Linked DNA regions of Macaca mulatta. The protein of the gene in region 1 purifies or fractionates together with the protein of each later gene. This does not show direct contact. Links are inferred from orthologs where the notes say so. Each region holds a gene or a part of one and is shown in the gene's direction. Other genes may lie near its edges.

Region 1 (7,603 bases):
AGGAAGATTGCCTGAGTCCAGGAGTTCGAGATCAGCCTGGACAACATGGCAAAACTCCATCTCTACAAAGATTTAAAAATTAGCTGGGCGCGGCCGGGCGCGATGGCTCATGCCTGTAATCCCAGCACTTTGGGAGGCCAAGGCGGGCAGATCATCTGAGGTCAGGAGTTCAAGACCAGCCTGGTCAACATGGTGAAACTCCATCCCTACTAAAAATACAAAAATTAACTGGGTACAGTGGTGCACGCCAGTAGTCCCAGCTACTCAGGAGGCTGAGGCAGGAGAATCACTTGAACCTGGGAGGTGGAGGTTGCAGTGAGCCAAGATTGTGCCAATGCACTCCAGCCTCGGCAACAGAGCAAGACTCCATCTCAAAAAAAAAAAAAAAAAAAAAAATTAAAAATCAGCCAGGCATGGTAGCATGTGCCTGTGGTCCCAGCTACTTAGGAGGCTGAGGTGGGGGGATTGCTTGAGCCCAGGAGGTTGAGGCTGCAGTGAGCCATGATCATACCACTGCACTCACTCCAGCCTAGGCAACAGAGTGAGACCTTGTCTCAAAAAAAGAAAGAAAAGGCTGGGTGCAGTGGCTCATGACTTTCAAGGCCGACAGGTGGATCACTTGAGGCCAGAAGTTCGAGACCAGCCTGGACAACATAGTGAAACCCCATCTCTACCAAAAATACAAAAATTAGCCAGGCGTGATAGTGCACGCCTGTAATCCCAGCTACTAGGGAGGCTGAGGCAGGAGAATTGCTTGAACCCAGTGGGCAGAGGTTGCAGTAAGCCAAGATTACACCACTGCACTCCAGCCTGGGCAAGAGAGCGAAACTCTGTCTCAAAAAAAAGGAAAAGAAAAAGAAAAAAAAAAAAAAAGAAAAAGAAAAGAGAGAAAGAGGTACAGAAAGAAAGAGAGCAACAAAAGAGAAGAGACAAGACGAGACAAGACAAGAAAAGAAAAAGGAGAGGGGAGGGGAGGAGGAGAGGAGAAGAGAAGGAGAGGAAAGAAAGAAGAGAGAAAGAACAGGTGGGAGAAATAAAGGGGAAAAAACAATAACTCTAAGATAATACAAATTTAAAGATATATTAAAAAATTAAAAGTAGGGACTTCTTCCCTCCCCATTCCTCACCACAAATGAAGGAGGGGAAGCAAGAGGAAAGGTAATCAGGAGATTGAGACAGGAGAGAAAGATTTAATCAGCCTTAAATGACCTTTCCCTACCCTGCCCCAGTCCTGCCCACTTCCCGCCCCAGTTGCCCAGCCAATAGGCTCCTGGGACTGAGATCAGCGGTGGAGGATATGAACTGCTCCAAAAAAAAAAAAGTGAAAAGGTCTCCAGCCCAAAGGCAGGAGACTGCCCTACCCACATCTTGCTCCTGCAGCCCTTCTGCATTTACCTGTTTCAAGTGACTCCATTCCTAGATACCTACTACGTCCTACTCCTGGCCCATCCTCTTCACCCTCCTCCCGTTTGTCCCCCTACCCAGAGCTTCTTTCTACAGATTCCATCTTCTCCTCCTTATGGATTGGGGATCAGAGGATCAGACTCAACCTCACAAGATCTTTTAAGATTTTTTTCCGCAGGGCCTCACCAGTCCAGGCCTTCCCAAGGTCACCCTTTTCTTCTCCCCATCTCCAACGTCAGTTTCTGTCCTTTCCCTCTACCCTCACTATCAACAATGACCAACATTCCTATTGCCCTTATGATGTGCCAGGTCCAGTCCTTAGCATTTTACATATTAATTTTTCACAGTCCTATGAGGTGGCCACTGTTAATATTTTAGAGAGGGAAATTAGGTCCATAGATCCAGAGAGGTGCAGTCCGTTGCCCAATACACAAGTGGAAAGTGGCAGAGCAAGGACATGAACCCACCCATGTAACCACTACTCTCCTATCTGTCAAATGTAGTTCAAAGCTCTTCTGCAACCCCTTGCCTCTCCCCCTCTAAAGAGAGGCTTCCACCCAGGTTTTTTGCAGTGTAATTTTGACAGCATCCACCTGAAGGGATTGTGACCCTTTTGACAAGAAACAAAGCCTTCTCAAGTGTTTCTAAGAAATGTGGGCAAAGTGCCCTATCTGTACCTCTGTCCCTCCGTTTTTCCCCTCATTAACTCAACAAATATTAATCATCTCCTCTGTACAGTGTCCAGAACACACGAGTTCCCTGTCTTGATATTCGATCAGGAGACACAGGAACCAAACAAAATTTTTACACAATTCATTTTAAAATCAGAATTGTGGCAAAGGAGCAAAGAAATACAAGGCCCTATGCAGCCTGCGATAAGGGGACTTGCTCTCTTCTTTCTTCTTCTTGAAGAGGGATCTTTGCCCAGAAGAAAGTCTCTCCTTTATAAAGTCAGTTTCATTCTCCAAAGCCTGAGGGAAAAGGTCTCGCGGTCTTCCCCTGTCCCTCCAAGGAACCTCCCCTGAATACGAGTGGCAGTTAATAAGGAACCCCCGGCCGGGCGCGCTGGCTCACGCCTGTAATTCCAGCACTTTGGGAGGCCGAGGTGGGCGGATCACGAGGTCAGGAGATCGAGACCATCCTGGCTAACACAGTGAAACCCCGTCTCTACTAAAAATGCAAAAAAAAAAAATTAGCCGGGGGTGGCGGCGGGCGCCTGTAGTCCCAGCTACTCGGGAGGCTGAGGCAGGAGAACGGCGTGAATCCGGGAGGCAGAGCTTGCAGTGAGCTGAGATCCGGCCACTGCACTCCAGACTCCGCCTCAAAAACTAACTAAATAAATAAATAAGGAACTCCCATCCCTCTCTTCAAGTCGTCTCCCTTCCTCAGGGCCCACAAAGAAGTTGCAAACGGGTTTTGTCCTCTCCTGAAGAAGTGGAAGTTCTTTTCTTCTAAGGAAGTGGCAGATCTTCCCTTCGGTGTCTTCTCCAAGGGGTCTCCCACTCTTTTTCCCTTCTGTGACAGCCCTTCCTTCATATCCTTCAGGGACCCCACACTCTGAAGATAGCCTTTACATCCCTAATCCCCTTTGGGAAAACCCCCTGGGGCCCAGGTACTCACAGATCTAGCCAGTCCCCGAGCCCCAGGCCGCCACAGCAGCAAGAGGGCAGCCTGGCTCAGGCCTCGGTTTGGCCGCCAGACCCTCGCCGCAGCGATCGCTACCGCCATCTTGGCTAGCAACCACTCAGCGGTAGGGCACTCACGTAGGCTAGATTCGGGGCTGCCCCTTTATGTGCCTGACACAAACTCCAGCACCATCTGACAAGAAAATCACCTTCTTCCCATTCTGTTGTAGATAGAATGCACAGAGATTTGGAGAAGAAAACCTATCTACCCAAAATTTTCCCCAGTCGCCTCATTGTAGTTACTCCTGTAACAGGCAAAGAAGAGGGCAACCTGACCACGGCCTCAGGGATTTAGGGCCCGGGGGCCCAGAGTAAAACAGGTCACTGCCAAGGCCTGCCTCCTGTTCTCAACTGTCCAATGGCGTTGCCAGAGTTAGGAGGTGGGACTGGGCGGAGCCAGATTGTTGGTAAACGCTAAGCCACGTGCGGACGCCAGGACTGACGGCCGAGCCCAGCGCGTGCGCAATGGTTACGCAGAGTGTTCGCAGCGCGCGCTGCCGGGCGGAAGTGATAATCGCAGCCGCACGTGGGGTCGGCGCGATGGAGGAGGAGATGCATACTGACGCCAAAATCCGCGCTGAAATTGGAACAGGGTGCAGCCCTCGGGGTCCCGGCTGCAGCCTCCGGCACTTTGCCTGCGAACAGAACCTGCTGTCGCGGCCAGATGGCTCTGCTTCCTTCCTGCAAGGTAAGAACTTACCCAGGTCTTTTGGAGAGGGACTACCATGTACCGTGCAACGGAGTGCCCATCTCCCCATGATACCAGCTGGTAAATGTCACTCCTGCGTTGATACATGATTTCTTGTCCGATTGAATACTACTACATACGCAGGGATACATACATCTCTCCCTCACGACTAGAAAGGAGAAGATAGCTCCATCTTTGTAAATATGTCTGAGAATGACAGGCGGGGCAGACCGTCCCCGCAAGAATTGATATTTCAGAATAGGGAAAATCACCTCACCAGGGTAAATATCGCCCTTAACTAGGTTCCTCCTCCTCACCCCCGCCCCCGCCCGCCCCACACACACGCCCGCTAGGTCCTTGCATCCCGGACTGACGCAAACCTGTCAATTTGCATACTCTGGACTGTGGCGGATCTTTCACCCACGTAAATACTCCTCAAATTGAAGATAATGTCACTGCCCTGGGTTGAAAAATACATCCCCACCGCTACCTCACTGCATCTCTCCACAGGAGTAAATATCCCTAAGATTAGGGCAAGTCTTACCTATAGGGCAAATATCCCCTTCCCCTAGCTAAATAACTCTCAGAACCAGATTAACTCCAAGAATATTTCTCTTTAACGTTTGAGACAGGAGGCTGGGCACAGTGGCTCACGCCTGTAATCCCCACACTTTGGGAGGCCAAGGCGGGTGGATCACCTGAGGTCAGGAGTTCGAGACCAGCCTGGCCAACATGGCGAAACCCCGACTCTACTAAAAGTACAAAAATTAGCCAGGCATGGTGGTGGGCGCCTGTAATCCCAGCTACTGGGGAGGCTGAGGCAGGAGAATCTCTTGAACCCAGGAGGCAGAAGTTGCAGTGAGCCAAGATTGTGCCATTGTACTCCAGTGTGCACGACAAAACAAGATAATGTCTCAAAAAAAAAAAAAAAATTTTGAGACAGGGTCTCACGATGTTGCCCAGGTTGGTCTTGAACTCCTGGACTCAAGCAGTCCTCCTCCCAAAGTGCTCATATAGGTACCAGCCACCACGCCCAGCCCCAATACATTTTAACAAAATCTGGCTGCTGTGTTGATTGTGGGGAGTATGGGGGAAAACAGGGAGGTGATGGTGGCTCCAGCCAGAACAGGAGTAGTGGAGGTGATGAGATTCTGGATGTAGTTTGAAAGTAAAACGGACAAAACTTACCTATAGTTTGGTTTGAGTGCGAGGAAAAAGAGTCAGGCATAACTAAGGTTTCTGCCCAGATCTGTACAAGTCTGGAAATCAGGAGAGAGACCCAAGCTGGACATAGGCAATTTGGAACTCTCTGGCTGTATATATGGTATTTCAGCCTATTGACTGAACGAAGTCAGTGTAGATGGAAAAGAGGTCCCAGGACCAAGCCCTAGGCCTTCCAACTTGAGCAGTCAGGGACTTGTGACAAGCAAGCTAAAGGAGACTCAGAAGGAACGCCCAGAGACTTAGGGGGAAACCGGGAGAGGGTGGTGACCTGGGGCCAAGAGAAGAGCGTGTCTGAGATGTGAGGGCTGACAGCTGTTTCGGCCTTACTGACAGCCGGGTCAATGGAGGGTTGATCATTTGGAGGTCAGTGGTGACGATGTTGAGCTGCCGCAGTGGAGTGGTGGGGTCACAGGAAAGGAAGAATAGACAGCTGTTCAGGAGTTTTGCTGTAAGAGGATCAGATAAGTGGGGCAGGAATTGAAGATGGTTGTGGGGTCAACAGGGGAGAGAATTGCTGGAGCCACGTCTTGAAGAAGGTGAGAGGGGAGGGACTCTTGTGCTCAGGCGAAACACAGGCAGTTCATCTGGAGCCAGAGGCGAGTTCTATTTTGGTTTCTCCAGTCCTCAGGGCAGTTTTTCCTGGAACTAAGCACACCTTCCGTGTAAGGGCAAATTGGGCATCCCAGGAAATACCGCCTTAACCAGGGACCTTCCCGGACCCTCCCTCAGGCTTAGCACTTATGCTGAATTGAGATACCTCAAGTTTCTTCGAACCTAAGAATTAAGAAGGGGCCGGGCGCAGTTGCTCACATGGGTTGCTCACACCGGTAATCCAAGCACCTTGGGAGGCCGATGAGGGTAGATCACCTGAGGTCAGTAATTCTTTTTTTTTTTTTGACACAGAGTCTCGCCCTGTCACCCAGGCTAGAGTGCAGTGAAGCGATCGTGGCTCACTGCAACCTCCACCTCCCAGGTTCCAGCGATTCTTCTGCCTCAGCCTCCCGAGTAGCCAGGACCACAGGCGTGTGCTCCCACGCCCAGCTAATTTTTGTAGTTTTTAGTAGAGACGGGGTTTCACCATGTTGGCCAGACTGATCTTGAACTCCTGACCTCGTGATCCACCCGCCTCGGCCTCCCAAATTGCTGGGATTACAGGCGTGAGCCACCTCGCCCAGTCGAGGTCAGGAGTTCTGAGACCAGCCTGGCCAACATGGTGAAAACCCGTCTCTACTAAAAATACAAAAATTAGTCGGACAAGGTGGCACGCACCTATAATCTCAGCTACTCTGGAGGCTGAGGCACGAGAATCACTTGAGCCTGGGAGGCGGAGGTTGCAGTGAGCTGAGATTGCACAACTGCACTCCAGCCTCCTGGGTGACAGAGGGAAACTTTGTCTCAAAAAAGAAAATAGAGACAGGAGTCTTGCTATGTTGCTCAGGCAGGTCTCAAACTCCTGGCCTCGAGCAGTCCTCCCACCTGGGCCTCCAGAGTGCTGGGATTACAGGTGTGAGGCACCATGTCTGGCCTCAAATGTTTTGGGTTTTTTTTTTTTTTTTTTTTTTTTTTTGAGACGGAGTCTCGCTGTTATTGTCCAGGCTGGAGTGGAATGGTGCCATCTCGGCTCACTGCAACCTCCGCCTCCCCGGTTCCAGCAATTCTGCCTCGGCCTCCCGAGTAGCTGAGATTACAGGCACCCACCACCATGCCCAGCCAATTTTTGTATTTTTAGTAGAGATGGGGTTTCACCATGTTGGCCAGGATGGTCTCAAACTCCTGACCGCAGGTGATCCACCCACCTCAGCCTCCCAAAGTGCTGGGATTACAGCAGACAGTACTAGAAGCCAGGCTATTTATTTCTTCGGTCTTACCTCCTGTACCCCATTTATAGCTTCTGGGGAAATAAGCAGGAATCAGGATTCATTCCAGATATTATTCCTTTCTCAGGTGTCCAGACTGGACTGGTGCAGAATTTGGGGACCAGTGCCTAAGGGAAGAGCTGGGCTGGGGAACCTTTGCAAAGAGAAGTTGAGAGCAGTGACAGTAAGAGGGAGGATGGTTAGCTTTCAGGAAGAACTTCCTGTTAAAAGTTACTAATAGTGGCCGGGCATGGTGGCTCATGTCTGTAATCCCAGCACTTTGGGAGGCCGAGGCGGGCAGATCATGAGGTCAGGAGTTCGAGACCAGCCTAACCAACATGGTGAAACCCAGTCTCTGCTAAAAATAAAAAAATTAACTGGGCATGGTGACTTGAACCTGTAATCCCAGCTACTCAGTAGGCTGAGGCAGGAGAACTGCTTGAACCCGGGAGGCAGAGGTTGCAGTGAGCCGAGATCACGCCACTGCACTCCAGCCTGAGCAACAGAGCGAGACTCCATCTCAAAAAAAAAGAAAGTTACTAATATCAGGGCTAGGCATGGTGGCTCACACCTGTAATCCTAGCACCTTGGGATTACAGTTGCCCAGGAGTTCGCAACCTGCCTGAGCAACATGGCAAAATCCCCTCTTCACTAAAAATACAAAAATTACCCAGGCATGGTGGCACGTGCCTGGAGTTCCAGCTACTTGAGAGGCTGAGGCAGGAGGATCGCTTGAGCCCAGAAGG
Region 2 (7,544 bases), on another chromosome or scaffold:
GCATTTGTTTGTTTGTAAAGGATTTTATTTCTCCTTCCTTTATGAAGCTTAGTTTGGGTGGATATGATATTCTGGGTTGAAAATTCTTTTCTTTAAGAATGTTGAATATTGGCCCCCACTCTCTTCTGGTTTGTAGAGTTTCTGCCGAGAGATCTGCTATTAGTCTGATGGGCTTCCCTTTGTGGGTAACCCAACCTTTCTCTCTGGCTGCCCTTAACATTTTTTCCTTCATTTCAACTTCGGTGAATCTGATAGTGATGTGTCTTGGAGTTGCTCTTCTCAAGGAGTATCTTTGTGGTGTTCTCTGTATTTCCTGAATTTGCATGCTGGCCAGCTTTGCTAGATTGGGGAAGTTCTCCTGAATAATGTCCTGAAGAGTGTTTTCCAACTTGGTTCCATTCTCCCCGTCACTTTCAGGTACACAAATCAGATGTAGATTTGGTCGTTTCACATAGTCCCATATTTCTTGGAGGCTTTGTTCATTTCTTTTTATTCTTTTTTCTCTAAACTTCTCATTTCATTTCATTCATTTGATCTTCAATCACTGATACTGTTTCTTCCACTTGATCAAATCGGCTACTGAAGCTTGTGCATGTGTCACATAGTTCTTGTGCCATGGTTTTCAGCTCCATCAGGTCATTTAAGGACTTCTCTACACTGTTTTTTCTAGTTAGTCATTCGTTTAATCTTTCTTCAGGTTTTTAGCTCTTTGCGATGGGTTTGAACATCCTCCTTTAGCTCGGAGAAGTTTGTTACTACTGATCATCTGAAGCCTTCTTCTCTCAACTTTTCAAAGTCATTCGCCATCCAGCTTTGTTCCATTGCTGGCGAGGAGCTGTGTTCCTTTGGAGGAGAAGAGACACTCTGATTTTTAGAATTTTCAGCTTTTCTGCTCTGATTTCTCCCCATCTTTGTGGTTTTATCTACCTTTGGTCTTTGATGATGGTGACATACAGATGGGGTTTTGGTGTGGATGTCCTTCCTGTTTGTTAGTTTTCCTTCTAACAGCCAGGACCCTCAGCTGCAGGTCTGCTGGAGTTTGCTGGAGGTCCACTCCAGACCTTGTTTACCTGGGAATCACCAGCAGAGGCTGCAGAACAGCAAATGTTGCTGCCTGATCCTTCCCCTGGAAGCTTCATCTCAGAGGGGCACCCACCTGTATGAATTGTTAGTTGGCCCCTACAGAGAGGTGTCTCCAGTTAGGCTACTCAGGGGTCAGGGACCCACTTGAGGAGGCAGTCTGTCCGTTCTCAGATCTCAAACTCCGCGCTGGGAGAAGCAGTACTCTCTTCAAAGCTGTCAGATAGGGACGTTTAAGTCTGCAGAAGTTTCTGCTGTCTTTTTTTCAGTTATGCCCCACCCCCAGAGGTGGAGTCTACAGAGGCAGGCAGGCTTCCTTGAGCTGCGGTGGGCTCCACCCAGTTCCAGCTTCCCAGCCACTTTGTTTACCTACTCAAGCCACAGTAATGGCAGATGTCCCTCCCTGAGCCTCGCTGCTGCCTTGCAGTTCGATCTCAGACTGCTGTGCTAGCAGTGAGCAAGGCTCTGTGGGTGTGGGACCCTCCGATCCTGGCACGGGATATAATCTCCTGGTGTGCCGTTTGCTAAGACCGCTGGAAAAATGCAGTATTAGGGTGGGAGTGTACTGATTTTCCAGTTATGGTCTATCACGGTTTCCCTTTGCCAGGAAAGGGAATTCCCGGACCCCTTGTGCTTCCCAGGTGAGGTCATGCCCCGCCCTGCTCTGTGGGCTCCACCCACTGTCTGAGAAGCCCTAGTGAGATGAACTTGGTACCTCAGTTGGAAATGCAGAAATCACCTGTCTTCTGCCTCACTCACACTGGGAGCTGCAGATTGGAGCTGTTCCTATTCGGCCATCTTGTGACCTCCCCCAAACTTTAAATATTACATACATGGTGCTTGTTCAAAATGCTTTTACATGCATTTAATATATGGACAACTCAGGCATAAATTTTTATCAAATTATGATCATGGAATGACAAGTTACAAATGTTAAGACAATGCTCAATCGCTTATACTAAACTTTCAACGAACAATATGTACAGTTTCTGTTAATGCCTTTATTTTCTATTATGTTTCTTCTGATTGCATACGTTGAAATGCAATTTTACATTTACTGAAACTAATAATAAAAAATTTGGGCTTGTATTTTGCACATATTTTCCCCATTTTTCTACTAATTCATTTTTACTGTATTATAGAAGTATCTTTTACTGACAGATTGGAAAAACAACCCATTCTTCCCCACGGATAATCTGGGAAGCTGCTCTAAGACGCTGATCTTGAGGCAGACAATAAAAGCGTAGTAACAGTGAGGGCCCTGGAAAAGCTCCCGGGAAAGTAAAAATACAAAGTTTCAGTAACTAAGATTTCTTTCCTGGTTAAATACACTCAACCTGTATTTGGGCTGAGTGTTGGCCGGGTACAAATGTAGACAAAGGTTCCCAGAGTGCCGCCGCAATCCTCTCCCACAACATGGCCCCGAGCTACTCATTTCGAGATTTGCCTTTAGAGAAGAGCGAAGGAGCGGGGGCGTGGCGAGCAGCGTGAGATAATCGGAAAGCGCCCCTCGGCGCGGGCACAGCCGGCGCGTCATTGTCGTCATCGTTGCCCGACCGCTTTCCGGAGACTGTAGTCGAAGGCCCTGAGGTATTTTTCAAAGTTGTACTTTCAGTTTTTCTCCTCCTCCTGTTTAACTCCGCTTTTCCTCTCCTGGGATTCCCCTGTAATCCTCTGGGCAGACTGAGAGAATCGGAGTTTGGCTGCATAGCCTTCCAGGAATGCAGTGTCTCACAGCTCTTCGCTGGGGCAGCATTGCTGCAGGTCCCCCACTTCCGCTTGTTTTGGGGCTGCTTGCAGGCTTTGGCTTACCCCGGCCCCTCATTTCTCTCTCTTGCTCCGGTCTTTCTCTTTTTCTTCGTTTGTTAACCACCCCCTTCTCAACTCTTGGAAGACGAAAAAATTAAAAACAACAACAACAAAAAAAACATGACTTCACAATTTTCAGCTGTCTTCAAATCTTGCGTAAGGAGAGAGGCTAAAGTGGGACGTCTAGGGGAGTCACTTTACTGTGTTAGCTCCGTTTATCATTCACATTCACAGACTGCCTGCCGCTGCAGTATTAGCCCGTCTGAGATAGTGGGCTAATTTCGACCTTTAGCTGAAATCTGTGGTGGGTAATCCAAGAGAGCAGTTTTTCTTGATGACCCGGGAAAGTTCAGTGTAACTAAAACTTGCTTGAAAATACCTTTAATGTCTTCATGTTTGCTGAATACAATTCAGTTTTGGCTTGATACAGACTTATTTGTCGCAATGAGATGTCTGCTATCCACTTATTAACCCATTGGTACTGTCTGATGGTAGACAGAACCAAGACTTAACCGTGATTTTTAAAAAAATTAAATTTAAAATTTTTGTGGTTACATAGTAGGTGTATATATTTATGGGGTACACGAGATGTTTTGATACAGGCAGGCAATGTGTAATAATCACATGGAAAATGGGGCATCCATCCCTTCAGGCACTTACCCTTTGTGTTACAAACAATCCAATTATACTTTTAGTTATTTAACCCTGTATTTTTGATTCAAAATTAACAGATTAGCCCTGTCGAAGTACAGAGAAGTATTTGCGTTTAGTGGAAATGATAGAACTCATTGTTTTGTTGAAAGATAATGATAAGTGTGAATAATGGTTTTTCAAAATAAAACAAAATTCTCAGTCAAAAGATACTACAGCTGCCTTCAGTTAGCTGTGTTGTATGTATCACAGTTCAGAAGTAATGCAATTTTTTTTCTTAACTGCTTTTACCTTTTCAAATGGCTCTTCATATGTATTATCTCAGCTACTGTTTCCAAACAGTTGACCCTTCAAGCATAGCTCTACATAGTCCACAATGGATTAGAGTATTTGATAACTTTCACTTTTGGTAAAATACTATCTAATGTATTGAGGGCTGAGCCAGGCCCTGTTCTGATGGCTTTTATCTATATTATTTATTTAATCTATGCAGCAACCCCATATACTGTTATTTAAGAAATGAGGTGATTGTAATAAGCCACTTCCATATGTTTTGGAAGGTAATTTTGCTGCTTGATCGCTGTAATTTTGGAAATGCTTTGAATTAAACACTGAATAGAAGTAAATTTAATCTAATGTAGTTATTCATCTCAATCTTGAGCAATATCCTCATAATTTATATACTCCTCTATTATTAGACTTCTGGATACATTTATTTTTAGATGTTAATATCTTTTTTAGAAAAGGAAGAAGTCTGTATGTACTCAGGAATTGTACTGTGAGACTGAAGGAGAGTCACAGACAATACTAACATGGAGTCACTGTTTGCCCAAGACAGCAATATTTATTGAGAACTTGTGTGTACATTTCATTGTTATTTTCTCCTGAGATAATGCAGTGCAAAAAAGCCATTCCAGTAATTCATTACGAGTGATAGAATTCTGGTGCAGCAACAGCAAGTGGCTCTCAAGTTCCAAAACACAATCATGTTGGATTTATTCTCAAGCTTAGTTCATAACTGTGTATAATTATTTGGTGTAGAGATGGGAAGAGCCCCAGAACGTACATGATCATATGTTTGTTTGGATCCATGTGGTGACTTTCTATTATCTGTAAGCTCAAACTGTAATCTGATATTAAGAGTTTCCAAAATTAGGTCTTAGGTTACTTTGGTTGGTTTTAGTTAGTTAACAAATAGTTGCTAAATACCTAATACATGACAAGACATTATGTTAGTGATGTGTTCAAAATGTACCTCGACATGAATCTTACCTTGAGGAATAGCCCAGTGAGTAAATAACCAATGGAAAGGTAAGAGCAGAGGAGTGACATGATCTGACTTAGGTTTATTTTATTTTACTTTATGTTTTATTTTGTTTTACTTTACTTTATTGTCTGTTCTTTTGTTTTCTTTTGTTTCCTTTCCTGCCCTGCCCTGCCCCGCCCCGCCCCACCCCACCTCACCCCCCCCACTTCTTTTCTTTCGGAGTCTGGCTCTGTTGCCCAGGCTGGAGTGCAGTGGTGCAATCTCAGCTCACTGCAACCTCCGCCTCCTGGGTTCCAACGATTCTCCTGCCTCAGCCTCCTAAGTAGCTGGGATTACAGGCACGTGTCACCACGCCCGGCTAATTTTTTTTGTATTTTTAGTAGAAATGGGGTTTCACCATGTTGGCCAGGCTGGTCTTAAACTTCTGACCTCAGGTGATCTGCCTGTCTTGGCCTCCCAAAGTGCTGGGATTACAGGCGTCAGCCACTGCGCCTGGCCTGACTTAGGTTTTAATAGAATCTTCTGTGGCTTCTGTGTTAAGAATAGTTTGTTGTGGGGTGGGGTAGGTGAAAACCATGAGACTAATCATGGAGGTGTTGTAGTTCAGATGAGATGATAACATCTTAATTGGAAAGAAGTGAAGATGGAGAAGCAGTTTAATTTTAGATGTATTTTCTAGGAAAAGCCAATAGAATTGCTTACAGATTGAAAGTGAATTGTAAGAATAAGGTTATTGTCAAAGTTTGGGGCTTGAGCAACTAGAAGAATGAAATTGCCGTTAACTGAGAAATAGAAAACTGTGGGAGGGGCAGGTTTGTGGGAAGATTCGGAGTTCAGTTAAGGAGGTGATAAGTTTGTAATGTCTGTTAGTCATCTAAGCGGAGATGTTGAGTAGGCAGTTAAGTATGTTCATTCCGGACTTCAGAGTGGTCATTGCTGGAAACAGACATTTGAGAGTTGTCAGTGAACAGATGGTATTTAAAGTTGTGAGACCAGAGACAGTCGTTAAAAGAGTAAATGTAGGCAGAAAAGAGAAGGGGCACAAGGCCTGAGTCCTTAGGCATTTTAACATTAACAAGTTAGGAAAATGAGGAATAACCACCAAATGAGACAGCCTGAGCAGCCAGTGAGGGACAAGGACAATTTTGAGTCTGGTGTTGTGGAATTTAGAGTAGAGTAGTGCAGCTGATGGATCGGGTGAAGTGAGGATTGACACCTTTGGATTTATCAAGAACTTGAGGAGTGTTATTGATAGATATGTCATTACGTTAAGTCAAGCATATAGTTGCACAGCAGTGTGATAACTGTATTACAGTTATATTCAGAGAAACTTGGGAGCAAAGAGGAAGAAGAGACTACCTTTGTTTGGGAGGTATGGACACCTTTATAGAGGAGGGAGCATTTGATGTGGGTTTTAAAGGATTGATAGGCCAAGAAAATGGAGACAGTTATGAAGAGGAGGTTGATATGATTTGGGTGTGTGTCTCCTCCAGATCTCTTGTTGAAATGTGACTTCCAGTGTTGGAGGTAGGCCCGGTGGGAGATATTTGGGTCATGGAGGCAGACAATGTCTTGGTTTTGTCCTTGAGGTAATGAGTTGAGTTCTCACTCTGTTAGTTCACTCCTAGTGCTGGTTGTTTAAAAGAGCATGGAAGCTCCTCTTCTGTCTCTTGCCGCTTCTCCCGCCATGTCACATGTCTGCTCCCCCTTTATCTCACCAAAAGCAGATGCTGGTACCGTGCTTGTTGTGTAGCCTGCAGAACTGGGAGCCAAATCTAACCTCTTTTCGTTATTAAATTACCCAACCTCAGGTATTCCTGCATAGCAATGCAAAACGGAGGAACACGGGTATTCCAAGTAGAGGGAAAGGGCTATGATAGCACCTCAGTTCCCTTCCTTCATGGTCACATCTCCCAGTTAGCTGTTTTAAAGATGCTTTTGCCAGTCCTCTTTCCTCTGTGGCCATTTGCTAATGCCCCATGTTCAGTAGCTCCAGGCCTACTGAACATTGCTAAGGAAGTTGGAGATTCTAGTCATGTGGAGTAGTGACAGGAACAGAAGTTGAGTGTAACGTTGCTCCAGGCCTACTGAACATTGCTAAGGAAATTGGAGATTCTGGTCACGTGGATTAGTGACAGGAACAGAAGTTGAGTGTGACGTTGGGGAATAGGGTAAAGATGGGAGTTAAGGCTGGAAGGGTTACGGGAATAGACTTTCAGGGAGGAACAAACCTTTTACATTGTATAAAAGATTTTGTCCAGAGAGCATCCTACACAAATCCACTGATGGGATTTGTGGGGGATGCTCCTCCTCCATTCGATTTGAGTTCCATTCTGCCGAGCTTTACCACTTACCAGCCCTGTGACCTGTTTCTGTTGTGCCATCTGTAAAGTGAAGCTAATTTTAGTGCCCAGTCGTAGAGTTGTGAGAACTCTCCTCGCCCGCACTACAGTTTTTGTCTGCTTAACTCGTCTCTGTCATCGAGTGCTTTCTTGAGGAAGCATTCTGTCTTCCCTCAGATTAAGTCATGTCCACTATCTCATAGCACAATTTATTTCTTCATATTACTGTTGTAATTTTATATTTCCGTGATTCTTTGATTAGTGTCTATCATCCACACTAAACAGTAAGTACAGAGCAGGCAAGTTTTTGCTTACTATTATCTTCCAAGCATCAGGGCTGCCTATCATAGAGGCTAATTAAATATCTATTGAATAAGAGAGTCCTTAGAGACTGG

The links.
Region 2: the proteins of EXOSC5 (region 1) and C1D purify together in Homo sapiens (affinity purification with mass spectrometry; 4 studies listed by BioGRID and IntAct, counting the BioPlex papers as one, with this or other methods). This does not show direct contact. The link is inferred for Macaca mulatta from reciprocal best matches to the Homo sapiens genes EXOSC5 and C1D.

The regions. Positions count from the first base shown.
Region 1 is NC_133424.1:52,539,923-52,547,525, reverse strand, and holds the start of EXOSC5 (exosome complex component RRP46), read left to right. Parts: upstream 1-3,564; 5' UTR 3,565-3,629; coding exon 3,630-3,777; intron 3,778-7,603. Other genes in the region: BCKDHA (2-oxoisovalerate dehydrogenase subunit alpha, mitochondrial), read right to left, coding at 3,025-3,132. UniProt on the Homo sapiens protein: Non-catalytic component of the RNA exosome complex which has 3'->5' exoribonuclease activity and participates in a multitude of cellular RNA processing and degradation events.
Region 2 is NC_133418.1:56,664,721-56,672,264, forward strand, and holds the start of C1D (nuclear nucleic acid-binding protein C1D), read left to right. Parts: upstream 1-2,618; 5' UTR 2,619-2,670; intron 2,671-7,544. UniProt on the Homo sapiens protein: Plays a role in the recruitment of the RNA exosome complex to pre-rRNA to mediate the 3'-5' end processing of the 5.8S rRNA; this function may include MPHOSPH6.